Linked DNA regions of Elephas maximus indicus. The protein of the gene in region 2 interacts with the protein of the main gene of each other region in a pairwise test. Links are inferred from orthologs where the notes say so. Each region holds a gene or a part of one and is shown on either strand. Other genes may lie near its edges. The genes, in order: AKAP12, FHL1 and MYBPC1.

Region 1 (7,714 bases), on a different chromosome or scaffold from region 2:
CAAAAAACAAACTCATTGCCATCGAGTCACTTCTGACTCATAGTGACCTTATAGGACAGAGTAGAACCGCCCCATAGGGTTTCTGAGGAGCAGCTGGTGGATTTGAACAGCCAACTTTTTGGTTAGCAGCTGTGCTCTTAACTACTGTGCCACCAGGGCTCCTGTGTTAAATTAGTTCTCTATAAGTAATTGCTTCTATAAAGGTTTCTACAGTGGCTGGGAAAATACAAAGATTGACTCCCATCCCCTCTTCTTTGTTACTTTAGAGAAATCTTGGGTTTGAGTCCCTGGTAACGTGTCAAAATGCGTAAGACAAAGTTTTGCCATCCTCGCTTCTAAGGAGCATTCTGCTGTACTTCTTCCAAGACAAATTCTTCATTCTTCTGACAGTCCATGGTATAGTCAATATTCTTCCATATAAGGATAGTGTTGCCTGTATATATGAATATATATGATGTATATCTGCAGGTGGTTGACCTTTGAACTCCATTTGTAAATTGAACTTTTTCTGTAGTTTCCATATAAACATTGGGATTACTAGTTATGCAAGAACTGAATAATGGTTAATTCTTCTAGCTATCTAGATTTATCACTAGCAAAGAAAGGAACAGCAGTTGGATTCTAAAATGACTGGGTATCTTGGTTGAAGTAACTGGTACAGAAGGAAGTAGACTTTTTATTTAGGGAAAACAAAGAAGCGATACGCGGTAGTTTCAAGGATAAGGAGTTGCCCTGTTCTGAGTGAAATTGCCTGAAGGCTGTGGAGCTAGAGAATGAATCTATAGGATAAAGTTAAGTGTGGCTTTTAAATTCTGTGTCAATCATTGTAATTGTGACTGTCCTTTAAAGGGGGTGTATTATCTCAGTTGTAAAATCTTTCATATTTGTGAATTCTTTTAGGTTATATTTGAAAACATTTTAGTGTGGCCTTGAGAGGCCCAATTAAGATGCTAAATTTTATTGGTAAATTGCATGTGACCTCTATTCCCTGAGAAGTTGGCTTAAGAAGTACAAGTCCAGCCTGCTACATTGGCAGTGTGTATTTGTTTTTGAGAAATCTCAAACTGTTATTATAAGAATTAACCCTCTCAGGGAAACGAACTCTACCACCTGCTCTCCCCTGGGAGAGTCTGTGTGGTAACACCTGCCTTTGGCTGTTGGGAGGAGAAAGACAGAGTGCTGAGGTAATTAAGAGCCTTGAATGGAGAAGTGTAAAATAGCAGCAGCTACTCCCCTCACCATGTCACCAACACCAAACCAAGCAATTCTGAAGGCAACTCCTAACCCTAGGAAATAACACCTCGGTAACTTGATTTGGGGGTACCGATGGTTTAGTGATAGAATTCTCGCCTTCCATGCGGGAGACCTGGATTCAATTCCCAGCCAAGGCATCTCGTACATAGTCACCACCCTTCTACCAGTGGAGGCTCTTGTGTGCTGCTGTGATGCTGAACAAGTTTCAATGGAGCTTTCAGGCTAAGATGTACTGGGAAGAAAGGCCTGGCTATCTACTTCTAAAAACCAGCCAATGAAAACCCCATGGATCACAATAGTCCCATTCAAAATTGATCAAGGGAATGGTGCAGGACTGGATAGTGATTGCTTCAGTTGTACATGGGGTCATTATGAGTGAGGGCTGGTTTCGCAGCAGCTAACAACAAGAACATTGGGGAGCACAGTAAGCCTGTGCTCAGCACATAATAGGCACTTAATTAATGTGCTCAAAGTTCCCTGGATGACCCAAATAGTTTGTGCTTGTCTACTAAATCTAAAGGTTGGCAGTTCGAACCCGCCCAGTGGCACCACGGAAGAAAGACCTGGCAATCTGCTTCCCTAAAGATTATGGACAGTTTTATTCTATAACACAGGGGATAACCATGAGTTTTGGTTGAATATGTTTAAAGAAGGAATGGATGAACTTGGTAATAATGTTCTGAAGCAGTAAGTAGCATATCCAAAAGACTGGGACATCTCAATGCTAGGGATAAAAAATAACATAACCATGTTTCCTAAAAAAAGTAACTCCCAAGTCAGTGAAGAAACCAAGGGTAGTTATGTATGCTTGTATGAATCCATAAAAGGGCCTGTTATTCTTAATATTCCCTTAACTATGGAGCTATTTCAGGCAGAATAGGGAGTATTAGAACGTGCACATTTCTTAAAATAACATCTTGCTTTTTTAAAGTAAGAATTTAAGTATTTTCATAGCCTGGAAAATCTATGGTTGTAAAGCAAGAAATTGCTAATCTATGCAGACACCGGCCATGGACTCCTTGTTCAACAAGTGGGTTGTATAAATGGGTGCTTGAAATCTGTTGACCTTGTAATACTTTCTGAATATTTAAAGGCTAGCAGATATGAAAAGCTTTATTATGAATTTCCCAAGAACTGAATAAATATTATCTCACAGAATGGGGAAATTTTGATAGTATTTGTACTACTTGCTGATACATTGTCATATTGTGCTGACGCTGATTACTCTCAAATAGGCTTTAACGGCGTTTTGAGTTCCTAACAGCCAAAGCTCCTCCTCGCTAACGTTCCCAAGGAGCTGGTGAACACATTGAAAGCTTCTCACAGAGGGAGAATGAAGTGTCGTGCAGTAGACAAGCGTCAGCCTTGAAGCCAGATCCTGGGTGGACCCCCGCTCTCTCATCTACCAGTCGTGATAACCTTGAGCACATAATTCTTTTGGGCTTCCTTTTTTTTCTTCTCTACTGGCAAAAACTACAACATTGGCAAAACACTAACCAAAACCTCGAAAACACAGACGAGTTGCCTTTGAGTCAGTCCCGACTGGTGGTGAACCCAGGTGTGCAGAATAGAACTGTTCTGTAGAGTTGCCAAGACTGTGACCCTTCAGAAGCAGACCCCCAGGCCTTTCTTCCAAGGCACCACAGGGTGGGTTGGAACTGCCAAACGAAACCGATTGTGCCACTCAGGGACTCCTTCCATTGGCAAAATGAGAATAATGTCTGCATTATAAAATAAAAAAAACCAAACCCACTGCCATTGAGCCGATTTCGACTCGTAGCGACCCTATGGGACAGAGTAGAACCACCACATCCTTCTCCTTAGAAGTGGCTGGTGGGTTCGAACTCCGGCCTTTTGGTTAGCAGACGAGCACTTAATCACTGTGTCACCAGCATTCTCTCTATAGGGTTATCGCAAGAATTAAATGTGATTGTATATGCAAAATGCTTTGAACAGTGCCTAGCACAGAATAAGTACTCTAATGTTTCTGAAATAGTAAAAATTTAAGTCTAAGTGGGTGAAATGCCTATAAATCTCTAAAACCAAGCATTTTGCAACTATGCTGTTAACTAACAGATAAATTCCCAGGAAACTGGCCTTTGTGTACTTCTTTGCATAAAAATGGTTAATTCAGAAAACAAACTTTCTGCTAGATAATAAATCTATGATTCCCAGAATGCTGTTACAATACAGGCAATTAATTAGGCGCAAAATATCCCAGAGCTTAAATATTGCTTTTTTTAGTGGGTAGTCAGTCTGGGTATGTGGCATTCGTCTGGTGTTAGTGCCAGTATGCCAAAAGGTTCTTCATTTTTATTGAGTTTTGATTCCAACTGTTAGTGAAAGCCAAGCTGCTTCCTTGTCAGATAAAACTGGGATAATTTCTATCTTCCAGCCTCAACACCTTCATGCTGTTGTGCCAAATAGTCCAGCTAAAAATTTAATTTAGTTGAAATATTTATTGACTGCCCGTTAAGTTATGTTGATAGAATACCATATTCACAAAGGGGAAAAAATGCAAGCCACTTAGACTGGTATACTTTAAAGCCTGCATCTACTGACAAATACTGATGGAAAAATGAACAGGGCTCTGTGATCAGTTTCAGCATCACTCGAGCCAGCAGCGGCCTGGATGGTAGGTAACCTCTAGCATTGGGCGCTCCAAGGAGAGGCACATTTCCGGTAACAGTCTCACTCCCCCCCCCCCCATTCCCCAGGGAAAGAGGGCAGTCAGTCTTGCTGATGACATCGGCTGACATCACTTGTGCCGGACGATAGGAGAGCGCGGGGCTGCCGAGCTCACCTCATCTGTGGTCTGCCTGCGTTAACCTCTCAGCTCCCTGCTCCTGCCACGGCAGTTGCCCTAATATGGTCAGACTCCGGAGGAGCCCAGGAGCGCTTGCCTTTCTCCTGCGAATGAGGAGGCTAGAACGAATGTTTAGAGTCAAACACAATCTGAAGGAAAGCAAATAGGGATTTGGTTCGCTTCTGAGCCACTCGAAAGTCAGCTGCAGGAGAAGCGCCTGCCTTGGGTTATCAATCATTTAAAAATAAAACCCAGCGAATCCAATGTCCCCGGGAGGCTTTCTGCTCGCCCTCTTTTCTGCTCCTCCCTCACCTTCTGCAACCCTTGCTGGTTCCCTCGGCCCTGGTCCCCTTTTATAAGCGGGAGGCGCCCGAGGGGTCCGGGTGGGCTGCACTAGGACCTTGGCTCACGTGCGTCGCTCGCTGCGCCTCGGGTCCAAGCAGCCTGGGGAGATGCTGCTGCAAGGCGTGTCTGGGGCTGTGCTCATGTGATGAGGCGAGGGAAAAACAAGGGGAGGGGAGGAGGCTACGAGGTGGCTTTTTTTTTTTTTCTTTTAAGGAGTTTGCGGCGAGCGCGTCTCCTTCATTCGCAGTCGGGGCTCGTTGGAGGAGGCAGGCAGGAGAGGAAGCCACGCGTGGGACCTCGCCGGGCGCACTTCTGCTTGCTGGTCCCTGAGGTTCGGCGGAGGCGTAACCAGGCGGCCGGCCGCGGGAGAAGCGCCGAGAAGCCATGGGCGCCGGCAGCTCCAGCGAGCAGCGCAGCCCCGACCAGCCGGAGGCGGGGAGCGCGCCGCTGGCCGAGCCCGAGCCCGAGCCCGAGCCCAGTGGCGGCGGCCCCTCGGAGGAGACGGCGTCCGGCGCGTTGGGGGATCCCGCCGTCGCCGCCGCGGACCCCGCCGCAAAGGTACTGGTGAGCGGGCCACCTGCCCGGGGTTGGGGCGGGGGCTCCCCCTGATTTCTGCCTGCGAGAACTCCACGGCCCCGCCAGCCCTTGTGCAAACTCGGGAGCACCGATCCCTCTTTCTAAGCTTTTCTGGGGCTTGTGCGCCGGGCCGGGACAAGAACCGCGGCGAGCGCGGCAGGGGGCTTGGGTCTTGGTCGTGGGTCTCAAGGGGAGGCGACTGCGCCATCCGCAGTCATAAAATCTGCCCCTGCCCACCGCCAAGCCTTTCTGCACACTCTTCCGGTGGGAACGACCCAGACTGGGGGCGTGGGGCGAGTCCGTGTACTCCCTCGCCCTTTCTCACAGATGCGGAAAGTGAGCAGTGGGCTGGGACCACGCTCAGATCCCCCGCCGCGCCTGGCCTTGATGCCAGCGGTGCCCGGAGTGACCAGGTTGGTACCCAGTCCTCCTGCGGCAGCCGCCTGGGCGGACACCGCCTTCCTGATGCAGACAGAGCGGGTGGTGTGGCAAGCGCGCAGCCAAGAAAACCCCGGGCAGACGCCGCATGTCCAAAAGGAATGACAGGTTTCGCAAGCAAGTCTGCGTCCACCCTTTGGTTCAGTTCGTTGTCTTTGGACTCAGTTGGATAAACAAATACTGGAGTAGTTGTTAGAAGTTCTCGAAGGATGTGGTCAGTAAGCGAGCATTCCCTGTACTCTTTTCCATGTAGGTGGTGCTGAACCTCACATAGCCTAGAAATATTGCATTTTACCGTCCTAAATCTCCAAGGCTGAATTGTTACCTGATTCTGGGCCACTACAGCTGCCAAGATGGTGACTTGGTGTGATCGTTGTGTTTTAGATCTGTTTTCCAGCATGTGTGTTTATGATAACAGGGCGTTGCCCCACCGGCTTTGTGACATCCTCATAGGAAGATGTGGATAACCATACGTAATACCTTAATAACCTTCTACGTCGAAATGGAGGATAGAAAGTACTTAAGGACCTTTAAGAATAATTTCAAGAGGTACAGACGTTTCCAGTGGGGCGGGGTGGGGGGGGACCACACATGTTGAAATTTAGGTAAATTTCGCAGAAGTATGACTTCATTGCCTTGACCGCTTTAGCTGTCCTGGTCTAGTGTGGGCTGAGAGACTGCTCTAATAACGTAGTTTACCTCCAATCTTTAACTTGTAACTACCTGTAGCATCCTTGGCCCTAGGTATTGTGTGTTTACTGTGCCTCAGCTTCTGGCCTAGGGAATGTACTATCCTTTTGAGGACGAGTATTTTAGCATTATTGATATCACTTTTTGATACCAGCTATTAAAAAAATTTTTTTTTTTATTATTATCAAGATGGCTGTATAACCAGTGTCTCAAATCCAGTGATGAAAATAATTTTAAGGTTCAATTTTTAAAAAACTTGCAATTGGGGAACATTTTCTTTTCTTTGGCTTTTATGACCCATTCAGATCTTATTAACTATTCACACTAGAATATGGTACTCATTCCCTTTTCCAGTAAACTTGAATTCTTGTTTTAAAACATGCCTTCCATTCTCTTCTTTATCCTTTTTCCATAGCCTTGCCTTTCATCCTCTTTCCTAGTCACCGCCATCTTGAAACAGCCAGACTGCCTCCTCTAGAAAATTATTTAAATGACACCCAGATTATCATTTTACTGGTTGGCATGCTTCCCGGTTATCAATTTGGAGACAAATCAATACGCTTACATGTATCCTTGAAAAATGCCGTTTTTCATTTCAACCAGCAAAATTTATGACTCAGGTTTTGCAGACCTAAGGTTTTTCAAGAGGGCTCTCCAATTAATAATGACTCAGCAGGTAACTTTTACCTCCCCTCTTGGCCCTTTAAGCTCCAATTCCTGACCTCTGAATAGTCCCATCTGCCACTCTCTGCTCGCAAAGCATCATGGATCCTTCTTCCCGGCAGTTTCCACATTTATGGGTTTCGTGACTCCACTACTAAGTGCTTTCCCTGGCTGTTTTGGATGCTCTACAAGGGTGGGGACCATATCTGTTTTTGCTCACACCAGGTGTCCCCATGTGTAACATGCTGCCTTGCACATAGTAGGCTCTCAATAAATATTTGTGCAAAGAAGGGACACTATTGGCTTTCTGGTTTTGACTGGAAACTGTCAAGTTGGGGCAGACCCATCTACTTTTTTACAATTTAACCTTTGACATTCTTGTTACCATTATGGGTCTCAAATATGAGATAGTGACTAAGTCAAGTCAGTTTGTTTGGTTATTAATTGCGTGGGTTCTTTGGGAAAAAAAATCAGGTTTGTGGACTTTGGTTTTTATTTCCATAAAGTCCTGGTGGCTTGTTTGCATTGCAGTTTTGAATTGCCTTTATTCTCAAATAGACAAATATATCAAGTTCAAGTAGCCCAGGTAAGATTACTTCATACATTGAATTAGTTAGGAATTATATCTTGAGCCTTCTTGATTGGGCCTGTGGACATTTGGGGGAAGTTTAGGCTAATAAATTCATCTTCCCCCTGGGTAGAATGCCAATCATAATTTTTTTTTTCCCTATCTGAATGACATGCATGCTGCTTATTTAGCAATTCACCTTCCTTTTTTTTTTTTTTTTCCTGCCAATTTCAGTTAGCAGATAACTCACTGAGTGTCTGCATCTCAAAAGAAGAACTCTAATTGTGTTATCACTTCTACCTAGCAGGTCCAGTGCAGAGGTAAACCTTCTGGTTACTTAAGTTTAAGATTTAGATGCATTGAAGCAAAAGTCT
Region 2 (7,728 bases):
CTTGGTTGCAGAGCAGGGGCCACCTCCTCCTGGGCTCCCCAGGGCGGGGCCGCTGCCTCCTTGGTTTCAGAGGACAGAGGTCACTGCCTCCTGGGTTCTAGAGGATGAAGCCGCCACAGTGGGCTGAGAGGTCAGGATTCCTCATCCCAGGTGGGATGAAAGGTCCTTGGGGCCTCTGCCAGCCAAGAGTGCTGATTGAACTGCAGAAAATTATTCTCAGGCCTTGAAAACTATTGGAATTTGCCCTACTGGGTTTTACCCTTCCTTGAGACCTGTGACCCCTTTTTTCCTTCCAATCTCTCCTTTTTGGAATGGGAATGTCTTTCCGATGCCTGTCCCACCATCATATTTTGGAAGCAGATAACTTTTTTTTGTTGTTGTTTCATAGGTTCAGAGATGAAGAATTTTGCCCCAGGGGAGGGACCATACCAGAGTCTCACCCATACCTGATTTAGTTGATTTAGAAGATGAGATTTTGGATTTAGAGTTGATGCTGGAATGGGTCAAGATTTTTGGGGGTGTGGGGATGAAGTGAATGCATTTTGCATGTGGAAAAGACTTGAATTTCAGGAGGCCAGGGGGCTGGCAATTGTGTCCTTAAAAAAATGTCTTGAAGGCCTAAACCTCGATCCCTGTGAATGTGACCTTGTTTGGAAATAGGGTCTTGCAGATATAATTAGGTAAGTTCAGATGAAGTTACTAGGCTGAACCCTAATCTCTTTATGACTTATGTCCTTAATAAGAAGCGAAGAGACACACAGGGAAGAACACTATTTGAGGACAGAGGCGGAATTGAAGTTATGCTGCCACAAGCCAAGGAAAGCCTGGGGCTACTAGAAGCTGGAAGAAACAAGGAAGATATTCCCTTAGGGCCTTTGAAGAGAGCATGGCCCTGTACATTTCTCAATTCAGACTTACTAGCTTGCATAAAGAAAACAAAAATCCTTATAACTGGACCAATAAACAACATAGTGATAAATGGTGAAGAAATTGAGGTTGTCAAGGATTTTATTCTTCTTGGACCAACAATCAATGCCCATGGAAGCAGCAGTCAAGAAATCAGAAGACATATACATTGGGCAAATCTGCTGCAAAAAACCTCTTTAAAGGTGTTAGAAAGCAAAGTTGTCATTTTCATGAGTAAGGTGTGCGTGGTCTTTTCAATCACCTCATATGCATGTGAAACCTGGACATTGAAAAAGGAGGAGTAAGGAATTGACACATTCAAATTGTGATGTTGCCGAAGAATATTGAATATACCATGGACTGCCAGAAGAACAAACAAATCTGTCTTGGAGGAAGGACAGTCAGAATGCCTCTTAGAATGGTGAGGCTTCATCTTGCTCACTTTGGACACGTCATCCAGAGGGACCAATCACTGGAGAAAGACATGCTTGGTAGAGGGTCAGCGAAGAAGAGGAAGACCCTCAATGAGATGGATTGACACAATGGCTGCAACTGTCGGCTTAAACATAGCAACAATTATGAGGATGGCACAGCATCGGGCAACTTTCATTCCATTATACATAAGGTTGCTGTAGGTTGGAGCCAACTTCCACGGCACCTAACAACAAGAAGCTTGCGGAGCTGTGAGAGAATAAGTTTACACTGTTTTAAGCCACCTACTATGTGGTAATTTGTTAAGGCAGCTTTAGGAAACTAATACAGCTGTCTTCACAAAATCTTTAATATAAGGTTAAATGTAATAAGGTTAAATTTACAAGAAATGCTACGAGAGGAGGGAGAGATTACTTTTAGCTGGAATATCAGAGAATAGCTCAAGCAAGTTACAGCATCAGAGAGATGGGTCTTTGTAAAATGGGTAGAATTTGGACTAACAGGAGGAGAGGTGGGTGAGAGAAGGTGGGGAGAATGCACTCATTCATTTGAGAACCATTAATTAGAGACATAGCAACCAAATGTAATAAATGGGCCTTTAAAAATATCCTGGTTGGAATAAACTGTAAAAAAAAAATTGTAAGACAACTGTGGAATTCTGAATTCTGACTGGATCTTTGTGGCTAATAAAGGATTTTAGTTAACTACTTTTAGGTGTGATGATGATAGCATGCTTATGTTTAAAAAAAAGTTTTTTTCTTTTACCCATATATATTTTAGTATTTCTGGATGGAATAATATGATATCTTGGATTTGCTTTAAAATACTATGTGTGCGTTGGGGAGAATTGGAAATTAAATATTTTAGTCTATTAATTTCTTTTTGCTTCTTAATCCTGAAAGCATTAACAAAATGTAATGTGTGCACACGTTTGCAATTTGTGCACACATTACATTTATCTTTTATCTGTTTGCTTCCTCTGCAACAGGTGTCACAATCCCCCATATGCTTTAAAATGTGGAACTCTGTGTTTTCATGACCCATGAAGTCCAAATCCAAGGAGCTAACGTGTTAGGCGATTGAAAGTAGAGGGTCAGCGAAAAAGAGGGAGACCCTCAACGAGATGGATTGACACAGTGGCTGCGACAATGAGCTCAAACATAGCAAAGATTGTGAGGCTGTTGCAGGACTCAGCAATGTTTCGTTCTGTTGTACATGGCGTCGACAGCACCGAACAAAAAGATGTGTTAGGAGGCAGCCAGGGCTGGCTTTGTGCACAGATAAAAGAGGACAATGTGCTCAGGCAGCAGACCTTACCTTATGCCTAGTATGAGCACCGTAAATGTCTGCGGAAGAGAGGAAGGGAGGAAAGACGTGGGGGAGGGAAGAAGGAAGGAAGCAAGAAGGAAGGGGGTTGGGGAAGAAGGAAGAATGGCCAAAAAGAGGGCAAAGAAGGGAGGGGGCTGGGGAGGTCTGAACCACAACTAACATTGACTCAGTGCCAAAGAGTGGCCAGAAGTTTCCCTGGGAGAGGGCCCTTGGTCCAGTGCCTTCCATCTTGAGTACCTCTTATCTGTTTCTTTTGAGCTGGGGGCAGGGCTGGTATTGGGTGGAAACCACCTGCGGAATAGCTGATTGGCCAGGATGGGGTGAGTCTGCTAACCTTTTTCTCAAGCAAGTGTAGAATTAAATACACACACACAAATGAATGCAAGTAAAAGTGGCAAAATCTGAGTAAGACTGGTGAATTGTACTACTGTCAACGTTCTGGTTGTGATCTTGTACTATAGTTTTGCATTGGGGGAAAGTAGGTAAAGGGTACACGGGGACCTCTCTGTATTTCTTAACAAATGCATGTGAATCTACAATTATCTCAATAGAACAAAAGATTAATTAAAAGAAATATAAATCAGATCATGTCATGCCCCTACGTCAATTCATTCACTCAATGGCTTCCCGTTGATTTTGGAATAAAATGGAAACTTCTACCCATGGAAGATGATGCATTCCACGATTTGGTCCCTGTCAATCTGTCCAACCTTATATTGTGCCACTCTCCCCAGCTTTCCCGGTGCCAATCACAATTCCCATCAAGATTTGTCCCTCCCTTCTGGCTTTCATACATTTGCTCCCTCTTTCTGGAAGGATTTTTCCCTGGCTTTTCATAAGGTTGCTTCTTTCATAACTTTCAGCTTAAAGGCCACCTCCTCCCTTCCCAACTACACTAATTTGCACTGGTGGCGTAGTGGTTAAATGCTATTGCTGCTAACCAAAGGGTCAGCGGTTCAAAACCACCAGGCGCTCCTTGGAAACTCTATGGGGCAGTTCTACCCTGACCCTGTCCTATAGGGTCACTATGAGTCGAAATTGACTCCACAGCAACGGGGTTCTTTTTTTTTTTTTTTTTTTGGTTTTCTTTGCCTGCAGAGGCCCTATCCGAAATTCATATCCTCACTTCTTTGTTGCTGTCTCCCCCGCTAGATTGCAAGCTCCGAGGGTATGGTGGACAGTGTCTGAGTGACTGCACTGTACCTCCAGCGCCTGGCACTGTGCTTGGCACATGGTGAGGGCTCAGTCGACTGAATGTTGAATGAATGAACGAGTTGCCTAGTACCACTTCGCCACCCGTGCTTTCCGAGTAAAGCCCTCTGGATCCTGGCATCCAGTATAAGGCGGGGGTTCCCTTTGCTTCCTCCAGCTTGTGACTCAGGGGAGGGGTCGCCGGCGGGACTCCGCAAACCAGGCGGGAACGTGATGCGCTACTGCACCTGCGGCTTGACCGGAGTGCACAGGTTAGCTGAGGCCCCTGTTGAGCCGAGCCGCCACCTTTGCTCGCCTGCCTTTGTTTCTCCCACCTCCCCTGCCCTCGCGGGGCCTGCCTGCGGTGCCTCGTGACTCCCGTCGGCCTCGAAGGCCTATGGCCTGGCGCGGCGCGAGGGAGGGGCCCCGGGCGCCCCCCGCCTGGCGCCCCCGTCGGCCCTCTGGGGCAACGCTCGTGCCCGCCTCCCGCAACAGACTTCCCGCGCCCGCGCCCTGCAGGCCTCCGGCTGGGCCTCTCCCGGGGCGGGCACGTGGCCGCGTGGGGTGCGTGGCGGCCCCCATCCCGCCGAGGGCCAACAGGCTCCGGCGCGCGCCCCCTGTACCGCAGCCCCGCCCCCGCGCGCGCTCACGCCCCCATCGCCCCCCGCGCGCTCACGCCCCCCCGCCCCCCCGCGCGCTCACGCCCCCCACCGCCCCCCGCGCGCTCACGCCTCCCACCGGTCCCCTCCCGCGCGCTCACGACCCCCGCCGCCCTCCCTCCTCGCGCGCTCACGCCCCCCGCCGCTCCTGCGCGCGCCGCCCCTGCTCCCCTCCTGCGCGCACACCCAGCGCGGCCGAGGGGCTCAGTCCGCAGTCGCCGCCGCCGTCGCCGCTGCCGCCACCGCTGCCGCCTGGGCCTCGGTGCAGGCAGCGGCGCCACCACCGAGCAGCCGCGCGGGCGAGCATCCCACGCAGTAAGCCCTTTTTCTCTAGGCATGTGCGTGCGGGGCGCCTCCCGCCGCCTGGCCCGCGTCCCGGCGGAGGCTGCCCTCCTGCCCCGCGCGGGAGCCAGCGATCCCAGTTGGCCCCTGGCACTGGCTGCCGACTTGCAGAGCTGGGTACCTGCAGCCTCGGGCCTGGACGGCCTGGCCAGGGCGAGGGGGCGCCCCGTGGCTTTGGGCTGAGGGGTTGTGAGGTCCCCTAGGCTGCGTGCCTCAGCCTCCCCGGGGCTTTCTCCACTGGGGTGGCGGTGATGGGGATGGGCCGGCTGGGGTGGAGGTGGGAGTGAAAATGGGGGCTCTCCCTGCTTTCCTCTGCGGGAATGGTGGGGCGTGGGGAGGGAGTGAGGGGGGACTCATGGTTTTCTCCACGGGCTGGCGGGCAGTGGGGGTGGGGCGAGGTGATGGTGGGGTTGTGGGGAGCGAGTGAAGATGAGGTGCGGGGTACTCTTGCTATTTTCATCAAGGATAACTGGGATTGGGGAGGGGGCGAGGTGGGGGACGCGCCTTAGTTTTCTCCACGAGGATGGCGGGGTGGGGGTGGGGATGAGAGGGAGTGGAGGTGAGGGGGAATGCTGGGGGTATGGAGGGGCGGGGGTGGAGTGCATAGAGAATGAAGGAGGACCCCCGCTGCGGGTCTTCTCTTTAAGGGGGCGGTGGGGGGGGGAGGGGAGTTGGCGAGTGGGGGTGGGGAGAGTGAGTATTTCACCTCCAGCATGGATCTAGGGAAGCAAGAGGGAGGCTCTACCTCGGGGGTTGAGCCCTAGACCGTGGATTTTCAAAACTGCAGGGTGTGACCTTTCCGTCTAAAAAAGCATGAAATGCCTCCAAGGTGCCCTCTGTTCTAAGCTCTGGGCGAGAGGTTTCTGCCTTCGGAGTTTCTCTTGTATTCCCCGCGGCCTCTTCTGAGTTGTCCAGGACTAGGTAGAGATTTGAAAATCAGCGAGGCTAAGGGAAAGGTTGTGTGTTCAGTGCTGTATTTTCTGCGGGTTTCTCAGGTTTGTTTTTATTGCCCTTTACAGTAAAAACCCCATACCAGGGATACTCCTTGGGAAAAAAAGAACAAGGTTTATTAAGGGGAGTCCAGGTTCGGTTTTTGAATTCCCCAAAGGGCAAGAGATACCTCATTGTAGCATTTTTTTTTTTTCAGGAGGGTAGAAACAGTAGAAGAACCTTAGGTCTTTGCTGGAAGTCCCCAGTATTCTTTTAAATCATTCCATCAGGATTATCTGAGCCCCCTTTGATTTGAGTTTGGAATAGATCCAGTTTTGCTAATTGGAGCCATCATTTTGTAATTGCCTGTAGTTCTTCTCTGGGTTATCAAATCTATGGCAAGCTTATAGAACACCAGGAATAATTTTTTTCACTACCTTGATTAAGACAGTTTTAATGTAAATTTTATGTTCTTCCTTGAAAATATGCACAAGTTTGAATTATGGGCCCCTGGGAATTGTGCAAAGCCTTTCCCACCCTTTCTCATCTTCTACAGAAGGGAGCCCTCCCCATTCTTTATCCTGAAGCCTTGCAAGGGCTTCTGGGGTGGTAGTTTTGCCTTTGGAAACTCATACTCACTTTTGTTTAAGAACAATGTGCATTGAAAAGGCATCCGCCTTTATTGTGATGAAAATATATGTGCATTCACATGTTGGCTACATAAGGTTCCAATCTAGTCTTTACCTTTAGTCCTTAAAAATGCTTATTTAGCATTTGAAGAGCAAATATAATCTTTATGCAACAGAAGGTTGGTCAGATCGTTAGGGCATGATTTATGGAAACCACCTCACAATAAGTACACAGTCTAAGACAACCATATAGATTCTTCAACCAAATATGGTTTTTGAAATTCTAAGCTACTATTCCTATATTTAAGTTTTGGAGAAGAAAAGTATTTTTTCAACCAAGTCTAGATTTTTGAGTGAAACTTTGAAAAAATTTGTGTAAGATTTAAATTGGTAAAATTCCTCTCATATAAGAGCAACGCATTTGGAGTTAATTTAATTTAATATATATTTAAACTAATAGACCACTTAAAATTATTACTTGTTTACTGGCAATGTTAAACTGGAAATGTTTAAGTGGAAATGGAGCGTTTTGGACTCAAAGATTGATGACAGTGCAATTATTTCCACTATTGTTTGTGCCATTTCTAATGTTAATATGAGAGGCGTTTTGTACATAGGCAACAGTCTGAAAATAGAGTATTTTTACAATACAGTCTAAGAAAGTTAAGTGTGGTAAAATGTTCTGCAAAAAAGTGTGTTGATTGGTGATGGGTGTTAGGTTTCTCTCTAGAGAAAAAAAGCAAATGGAGTGTCTTTTACCTGGCTTGAGAACCTGTTCTCTGCCTTGTGGGACTGGAGGGGGAAAAAAATGAGTAAGTGTCAGAAATTAATGGAGGTGTGATTAAATATCTTTCTAAAATAGTCTTCAAGTTTGCTAATACCCATTTGAAAAGTAATTTGTAAATCAAGTCTTTGTGTAAGAAATTGACCCTCATCTCAACTTTTTTTTTTAATTGTAATATACACACAACACAACATTTTGTGAATTTCTACATGGTCGCCTCTGAAATTTTGACATTGAAAAGATAAGTTTGTTGAAGCAGTGGAAAGGCGCCCTGGCGGCTCAGTGGTTAAGGGCTTGGCTGCTAACCAAAAGGTTGGCGGTTCGAACTCACCAAGCACTCTGTGGGAGAAAGATGTGGCAGTCTGTTTTCACATTACAGCCTTGGAAACCCTATGGGGGCAGTTCTACTCTGTCCTAGGGTCGCTATGAGTCAGAATCAGCGGGATGCAAGGGGTTTTGTAAAAGTGGAAGCTTATCTTCTGAGACTGATCCCTGTTTTCCCGCTCTCTCGCCCCTCTCTTTTTTA
Region 3 (7,233 bases), on a different chromosome or scaffold from region 2:
TATTTTAAAAATACCGATATATAAAGTTATAGTAAAAAAAAAAAATAGTATGTGATGTTTATTGCAGTATTTCTCATTGTGGTGAGGCACAGGAGACAATCTGAATAGCCATCAGAAGGGAAGTAGGTAAGAAATTATGGCATGATATTCAGCTATTAAAAAGACTTAGTTAGGACGATATGTATTAATATGGAGGGATGTCTGTGACAGATTAAATGAAAACAGCATGTTGAAGAGTCATGTAAATAATATGATGCCATTTCATAAAAAGTAGACAAAGTGAATATATAAGTTTGTGTGTGTTTGTACATGCATAGAGAAAAGTTAGACCCTAATTCATACCTTGGAAACAGGGTGAGATTGTTGGCGTGCTAATTATACTTCTCTGCAGTCTTCGGCTGATGCAGGAATCATTATTGCTTTTATTTTGAAAGGTGTTCCAGAGATTGGTAATTGCCTATCCAACATCCATTCTTCCCATTTCTCCTCCGTAACAAAACCTCAGTTTTTATCTGAGCGAACTGTCAGTGAAACTGAAAGACTACCTATCCCAGTTTTGTTTGTAGCTGGATATGTCCATGTAACCAAGTTCTTCCTAGGAGGATATATTAGACGTGCTGTGTGACACTTTCAAGAAGGGTCTTTAAAAGAGAGAAGGTGAGTCCTTCTTTGATCTTTTCTGCTGCCTGAAACGTGAATTTAATGACTAAAACACTAGCAGCTGTTTTAGTCCATGAAGTTACCTGGAGAATGGTAGAGAGGAAAAAAGAAGGACCCTGGATTCCCGGACCCGCCATAATGACGTTAGACTACGTGCCTCTGGACTTGCTGTACGTGAGAGAGAAATACTCCTATCTTGATTCGACTGTTGTTATTTTGTGATTTTGTCTTATATGCAGCCAACCGTCATCCTACATAATACAAAAGGAAAAATCCAATAAAGTATTTTGCCACACAAAAAATTTTTTTATTAAAAATAATCCCGTTGACCGTTTCCCCTCCCCTTCCTGAGAGAGGGATGGAAGAAAAGGAAGCCACTTACGTTTGAAATAGATCTATAACATCTGAAAGAAAGCTTTGTGTTTCCAAAACTGTACAGTTCTGAGAAAACTACACATAGACTTATTATTGTAAGTTAAAATTTTACCTCAGCCACCTGGTACACTCTACAACTCTTTATCTTAGAATTTATCCACACTTCCAATTCCTTTCATTACATTTTGTCATTTAAAATCAAGTCCTTTATGACCTAAATGTTCCCAAGGTCATAAAATATTTTCTCCATGGGTTGCAGTATTTCCTGGCACATGTGCACTTCAGTAAAATGATCAGTGGATTAAAAACCCAACAGGGTTTCTGCAATGTGTCAGAAGCCAGTGATGGCACGGCACCTCCTTTGTGGCATGTGTGAAATCTGCCCATCACTCTAAACGTTCTTTTGCCATATGATACTCGGCTCTTACGTCCATTTTGTATGTGGTGTTGAGTGTCCTGGGGATGCTGAAAAACAAAAGATCCTTTTTTGAGGACCTCTGTGTAGAATCACAATGTTCAACCTAGAAGGGGCCTCTTTTTTTTTTTTGGTTTTTTACAAAAGAGGAATCTGAGGCCCAGAAAGACCACCTGACTTTCTCAGGGTAATACAACTAGGTAATGATAGGGCCACAAATAGAAGCCAAGGGTCTGACTTCATGTTTTAGGTTCTTTAATTTGTTTCATCTGTTAATGGACACTCTGGTCTCAGGTTCAGGAAAGTTACTTTTTTTTTCATGCCACATCTTACTTTGTTACAGGATGTGCTGTTTTCTGACTGACATTTAGCTAAGTGTTTTTTTCATGAATTGAATTGTGTGACCCTCCCCCCAAAATGTGTTGGAATCCTAGCCCCTATTCCTGTGGCTGTAAACCCATTTGGGAATAGGGTTTTCTTTATTATGTAAATGAGGTCACATATAGGTATATCGTAAACTTACTTTTGAGCTATAAAAATAGCAGATTATCAAGAAGGGAGAGTGTTGACATGTCATGGGGTTGTTAGCCAATGTCATAATACAATATGTGTACTGTTTAATGAGAAACTAGTTCTGTAAACCTTCATCTAAAGTACAATAAATAAATAATAAATAAAAACGCAACTATAATGAGATACCATCTCACCCCAACAACAACAAAAAAAGAGCAGATGAGGCACAAATGGGGGAAAGGTAGACACCACATGGAGATAGCCAAGGAACTAAGGAACCAAGGGTAGAGAAGCTGAGGCAAGGATTTTCCACCAGAGTTAACAGAGAGCCTCGCCCTAGAGCCGGGGCCCTGGATTCAGGTTTCTAAGCCTCCTAAACTGTAAGAAAATACATTTCTGTTCATTAAAGCCACCCACTTGTGGTATTTCTGTTACAACAGTACTAAAAAAAAAAAAAGCTAAGATAGCCTCTAAGGGCAAAAAAATATTTAAGAAAGCGAAAGGACGTGCTCAGTAGCATTATGTGGTTGAGAAAGAGCTTTCTTTAGAGAAGATGTTCACTGACCTTCTTGACCGCTCCCCCCACCCCCACGCGTACACATAGCTGAAGCGTGATGCTATTGAGTTCCAAGTTGAGTTTCCATCCCTATATGAAAAGTTAGCTTGGCACAGAGTTTGGTAATGCTAAGTCTGACCAGCTGTGCTCTTAGCCACAGGAGAAATTAAATGAGACAGTGTGGCTGGTTCAGTACAAATCAATCAAAGTGTCTTGAAACAAATCTCGAAAATACCCACCAATGAAGGCATGCCAAGAAGTTGTCTTTATATATAAACTAATTTCAGTCTTAGTCTCTGAAATCCTATGCATGTGAATGAAGAAAGGTATCTTTTTTTAGTTTGACACTTTGTAGCTCATATTTCTCTAACAGTTCCATGAGGTTTTTGAGAGAAAGTGGCCAAATCGATACATTCTACCAATATCATAAATTAGATATGTGTGTTAGTGTGTCACCTGAAAACAAAACAATAGCTCCTGGTCCATCTGACTTTCTTTGCCATCCTGCATATTTTTTTTAAGTGCACAATTCAGTGGTTTTTAGCATATTCACAAAGTTGTGCAACCCTCACCCACCACTCTATAATTCCAGAACATTTTCATCTCTCCCAAAAGAAACCCTGTATCCATTAGAGAGGCAGTGTTGGTTCAATGGTAGAATTGTAGCCTTCGCTGTGGGAGAACCAGGTTTGATTCCCAGCCGATGCGCCACAAGTGCAGCCACCACTCCTCTGTCCGTGAAGCCTTTCGTGTTGCTGTGACGCTGAACAGGTTTCAGTGGATCTTTGATATTAAGATGGGCTAGGAAGAAAGGCCTGGCAATCTACTTGCAAAAATCAGCCAATGAAAATCCTGTAGATCACAGTGGTCCGATCCACAACCAATGATGGAGATGGCACAGGGCAAGGCAGCAGTTAGTTCCCTTGCATACAGGGTCGCCGTCAGTCAGGGGCGACTCAAGGAGCTAACAGCAACAACCTATTAGTGATCCCTCCCCATTCCACCTCCTCCCACCACCTGGCAACCACTAATTTGCTTTCTGTCTCTACGGATTTGCTCATTTTGGGCATTTCATACAAACAGAATCCTACATTATGTGGCCTTTTGTGTCTGGCTTCTTTCATTTACCACAATACTTTCGAGGTTCATCCATGTTTGTAGTATGTATCAGTACTTCATTCCCTTTTTTGCCCTGTGCTTTTTTAAAAGAAAGTTTCTTGAAAAAAGGCAAATGATAAGTATTCCTTAACAGGAAATTTTGCTATGCTTGGAGGAGAAAATAAGACAAGATATTCAATGGAAATTTGACTTGGCACTTGACCTATTAATAAAAATACAATTTTTTTTTTTTAACATCCAGTAATTAAGAACTGGTAAAGATGAAAACTAATGGAGCATAAAAATTACCATCTGAATACAGAGAGATTGTTCTTTCTAATGGTTGTGCAAATTAAGATACGTGTTCATCAGCGTGTTATGATTTTAATTTGATTTTCTACTATCCCACCAAATTTTTGCACTCTTGAGCCGGCACATGCATGTGTCAGACAGAAAGAGAAGAGCAAGAAGGAGCACGAGGCTGCGCTGAATTTAGAAAGCTAGAGGTGTCCTCACCACATGAGATGGGCAGGAGATTCCTTCCAGCAGGCGAGAGAGCAGAGTGCAGACAACAGATGGGAGAAAGGTCCTCAGAGCTGTCAAGTTCCAGCATCTTTGCGCTGAAGAAGGGGAGGTGCCAACATGATTGATATTCAGAGGCAGTATAAAAGCTCAGGATTTCTCCCCAACTGCTTGTCACGCTGACCTCCCCCATCTCTTGACTGCTCGTGGGGTTTCTGTCAACTAGTCCTGGAGCCAAGAAAACTCTTTGGAAAATAACATTTTACTGTGGTCATGCCAGAACCCACTAAGAAAGAGGGTAAGACTCACTCATAAACCTTATACTTTTCATTAAAGTGTGTTTATTTTGGTATTTCTTTTAAAACAGATATCCAATTTTTAAAACAGCATGCAAAATAATAGAATCACTTTGATTTAAGGAAAGGATACTTTAGAATAAAAAGAAGAGAGGGAAAAGACATCGAGAATTTAACTAATTGAAAATTATCTGATAAAGTTTATGAAGGAATATTGGCTATAATGATCAAGTTATACTTTTATCATTCAATTGCAAGGGATCCTTAAAGTGTAATTTAAAGATGTTAATTGCCAGTGGTGAAGAGATTACATCTCCAAGCATATTTTCCTAGGCTCAATCATAAATTTTTCACCTTGTATTTGCAAGATGGGCGGGGGGAAGGGGGGCTGGGGAACTTGGAATGCTTTCTTAAATGGTTAACAGATTTGGTCAGGATTTCAAAAAAGAATTGTTATGACAGTATTTCCAGATTTATTATATATTTTTTCCATATACAAATGTAGGTATTTGTTGCTTTTATCAGTGTTTTGGAACTTCCATAGGGATGACATTATTGATTTCTTACACGGAAAGAAAATCAAACACCCTGGTAAAAGAGAATACCTCTGGATATCACAGATAGATTGTATTCTTTCACTAGTTTTATGTAGATAATTCCATAAGGTGTAGACTTTTATAAGTAATTAAAGTGAAAACATAAAATCACTCTTCAGTCAAAAAAAATTTCTTCCAAAAACAAGTTTCATTTTTCTATGAGAAAAAGATTTGATCAATATTTTAAAATTACCAATTAATAACATTATTAATAATAACTAAGTGATAAGTTAGAATTAATAATTGCTAAAATTTACTAATCAGAATAGTTGAATGGTACAGTACCTTGTTTAGTTTTTAATGGAAATGTCTTAAAACAATGCCATTTTATTCATTTTAGCTTTAATTAGTGCATACCGGATATTTTTATTTCTGCAAATAAAACCAAAAAAAGAAGATTATAAAAAATATTAAAAAAAGATTAGCAGGAGGCATAAAAATAGCATTTAGTTTTTTTCCATTTTGCCTTCAATTCTTAAAAATGCCTTTTAACCATTGTTTTTGAGGTACCCTGAAACATATGCCGCACATTGAACCCAAAGTCGAAACACTAACCAAATTATCAAAAGCCTTTTAAATACATTTTCTTTATGTAATTAAGTAACTGGTGTTGACAGGCTGTGGTGATCAGTTTACAGGTTGGCTTTACTTAGTGGCGGAGGGCATTGATGGATGAAGTCTTCCACCCAAAATAACCACACCAAATGCATGCATTAATATGGGGACTTAATCCTGCTGATCAGGCAGCGAGTCCAGCCCCTGCTAAAGGGTCTTATTTGTAATGCAAATGATTTACGTGTGTATTAAGTGTCCTTTTTATTTGATCTGTCACTTGACTAGCCTCTTCAAAGCTTACTTGAGTGGAATACAGTCTATGTTTCCTGGCCTAGAGCAGAATATTGTTGTAATTATCCTGAATTTGGGGGATAAATTTGTGTTTGTTATTTTAAAGGCCAATTGAAACTGCCAGCAATGCTGAAAAATTAATTAATAAGGTAGTAGGCTGTAGAGCCTATAAAGCTAATTAAATTATTCTGATTGCTAGATGCTGGGAAGTTTTACATTTTTTGTCTGACCACTCAATCTGATCCGTTTTACTTTCAGAGAGGGTGAAATTTTAGAGCCAGAAGGAGGAAAATATTTCTTTTCTCCCCCTAATAAATCTGCATGGATACCAAAGTCTCCACAATCCTTTTTTTTGGCTGTAAAAACACTGTTGCTATAAAAATATGTAAGAGTCCCTTCAGCAAGGACATTAATTTTGTGCCCATAGATTCTTTGATTAGTTTAAATTTGGAGTGGAGTAAAAAGAAAATGACAGATATATTTAAAATCCTTTAGAACACACAGGCATTTTGTTTGTTTGTTTCCTTACCAACATAACTGATTCTTAAAAGATCTGTACCTCAAAGCGTTGTCCTGGTGAAATCACTGCATTTTAATATTGTGCACATCAGAATCCTAAGGACTATGGTAATTCATGAATTCGTCTAGTCCTTGCACCTTCTCCTAACCGTGATTTCATTGTCACTGGTGTTGGTTTTGGTCCATGTAAACATCCCTCTCGAAGACAGCCCCAAGTAAAAAACAAGCCACCAAACTAATTCTTCAGAAACATTTCAAACTAGCTGCAGAAACCCTCCCCACAAACGGGTTCACCTAGCTCTAGCAGCTCTTCTTAGCGCTCTTCCTCAGCTGGGAAAACCATGCCAGGAAAGACATAATCATTTGCTGTGAATCTTGATGGTCTGGTGTGGCCCTCCTAGGACCCAGGAGGACCTGGTAACTTTTCAAAAGAGGTTGAGTTTTCAGCACCTGAAGGTGCAAAGAACATTTTGCTCTACTCCCTCCCAACCTACACGAGCCTAGTTCTGGGAGATTCATTGGGGTCTTGGGAGAGTTGGCCCTTCTAAGGAGGAGGAAGAAGGAAGGACAGGTGTAAGTTTGAACATCAAGGAGGAAGGCTAATGGAAGTAATTAGCTGACGGTCCTTATTTAGACCTTTGAACATATTCTGGGTGGCCTGGTGACCTCTTTTGGAGACAGAAAGTATTGTTTTTAAGAAGCAGCCACTTCCATTGCCCTCCTCTTCACCTTCATCAGACGTGTATTTACTGGAGAACTATATTGTTTATATTGTCAGTTCCAGATAAAAGGCCTATCTTATGTTTTAGATTCATGCAGGACCTGAGGCTAGTAAAA

Evidence for each region.
Region 1: the proteins of FHL1 (region 2) and AKAP12 interact in binary tests that used the Homo sapiens proteins (3 or more experiments, as listed by UniProt). The link is inferred for Elephas maximus indicus from reciprocal best matches to the Homo sapiens genes FHL1 and AKAP12.
Region 3: the proteins of FHL1 (region 2) and MYBPC1 interact in a two-hybrid assay, tested with the Homo sapiens proteins (2 studies listed by BioGRID and IntAct). The link is inferred for Elephas maximus indicus from reciprocal best matches to the Homo sapiens genes FHL1 and MYBPC1.

What each region holds. Positions count from the first base shown.
Region 1 is NC_064819.1:222,609,947-222,617,660, forward strand, and holds the start of AKAP12 (A-kinase anchor protein 12), read left to right. Parts: upstream 1-4,622; 5' UTR 4,623-4,789; coding exon 4,790-4,963; intron 4,964-7,714. UniProt on the Homo sapiens protein: Anchoring protein that mediates the subcellular compartmentation of protein kinase A (PKA) and protein kinase C (PKC).
Region 2 is NC_064846.1:19,884,478-19,892,205, reverse strand, and holds the start of FHL1 (four and a half LIM domains protein 1), read left to right. Parts: upstream 1-4,722; 5' UTR 4,723-4,832; intron 4,833-7,728.
Region 3 is NC_064822.1:167,861,400-167,868,632, forward strand, and holds the start of MYBPC1 (myosin-binding protein C, slow-type), read left to right. Parts: upstream 1-4,199; 5' UTR 4,200-4,412; coding exon 4,413-4,437; intron 4,438-7,233. UniProt on the Homo sapiens protein: Thick filament-associated protein located in the crossbridge region of vertebrate striated muscle a bands. Slow skeletal protein that binds to both myosin and actin.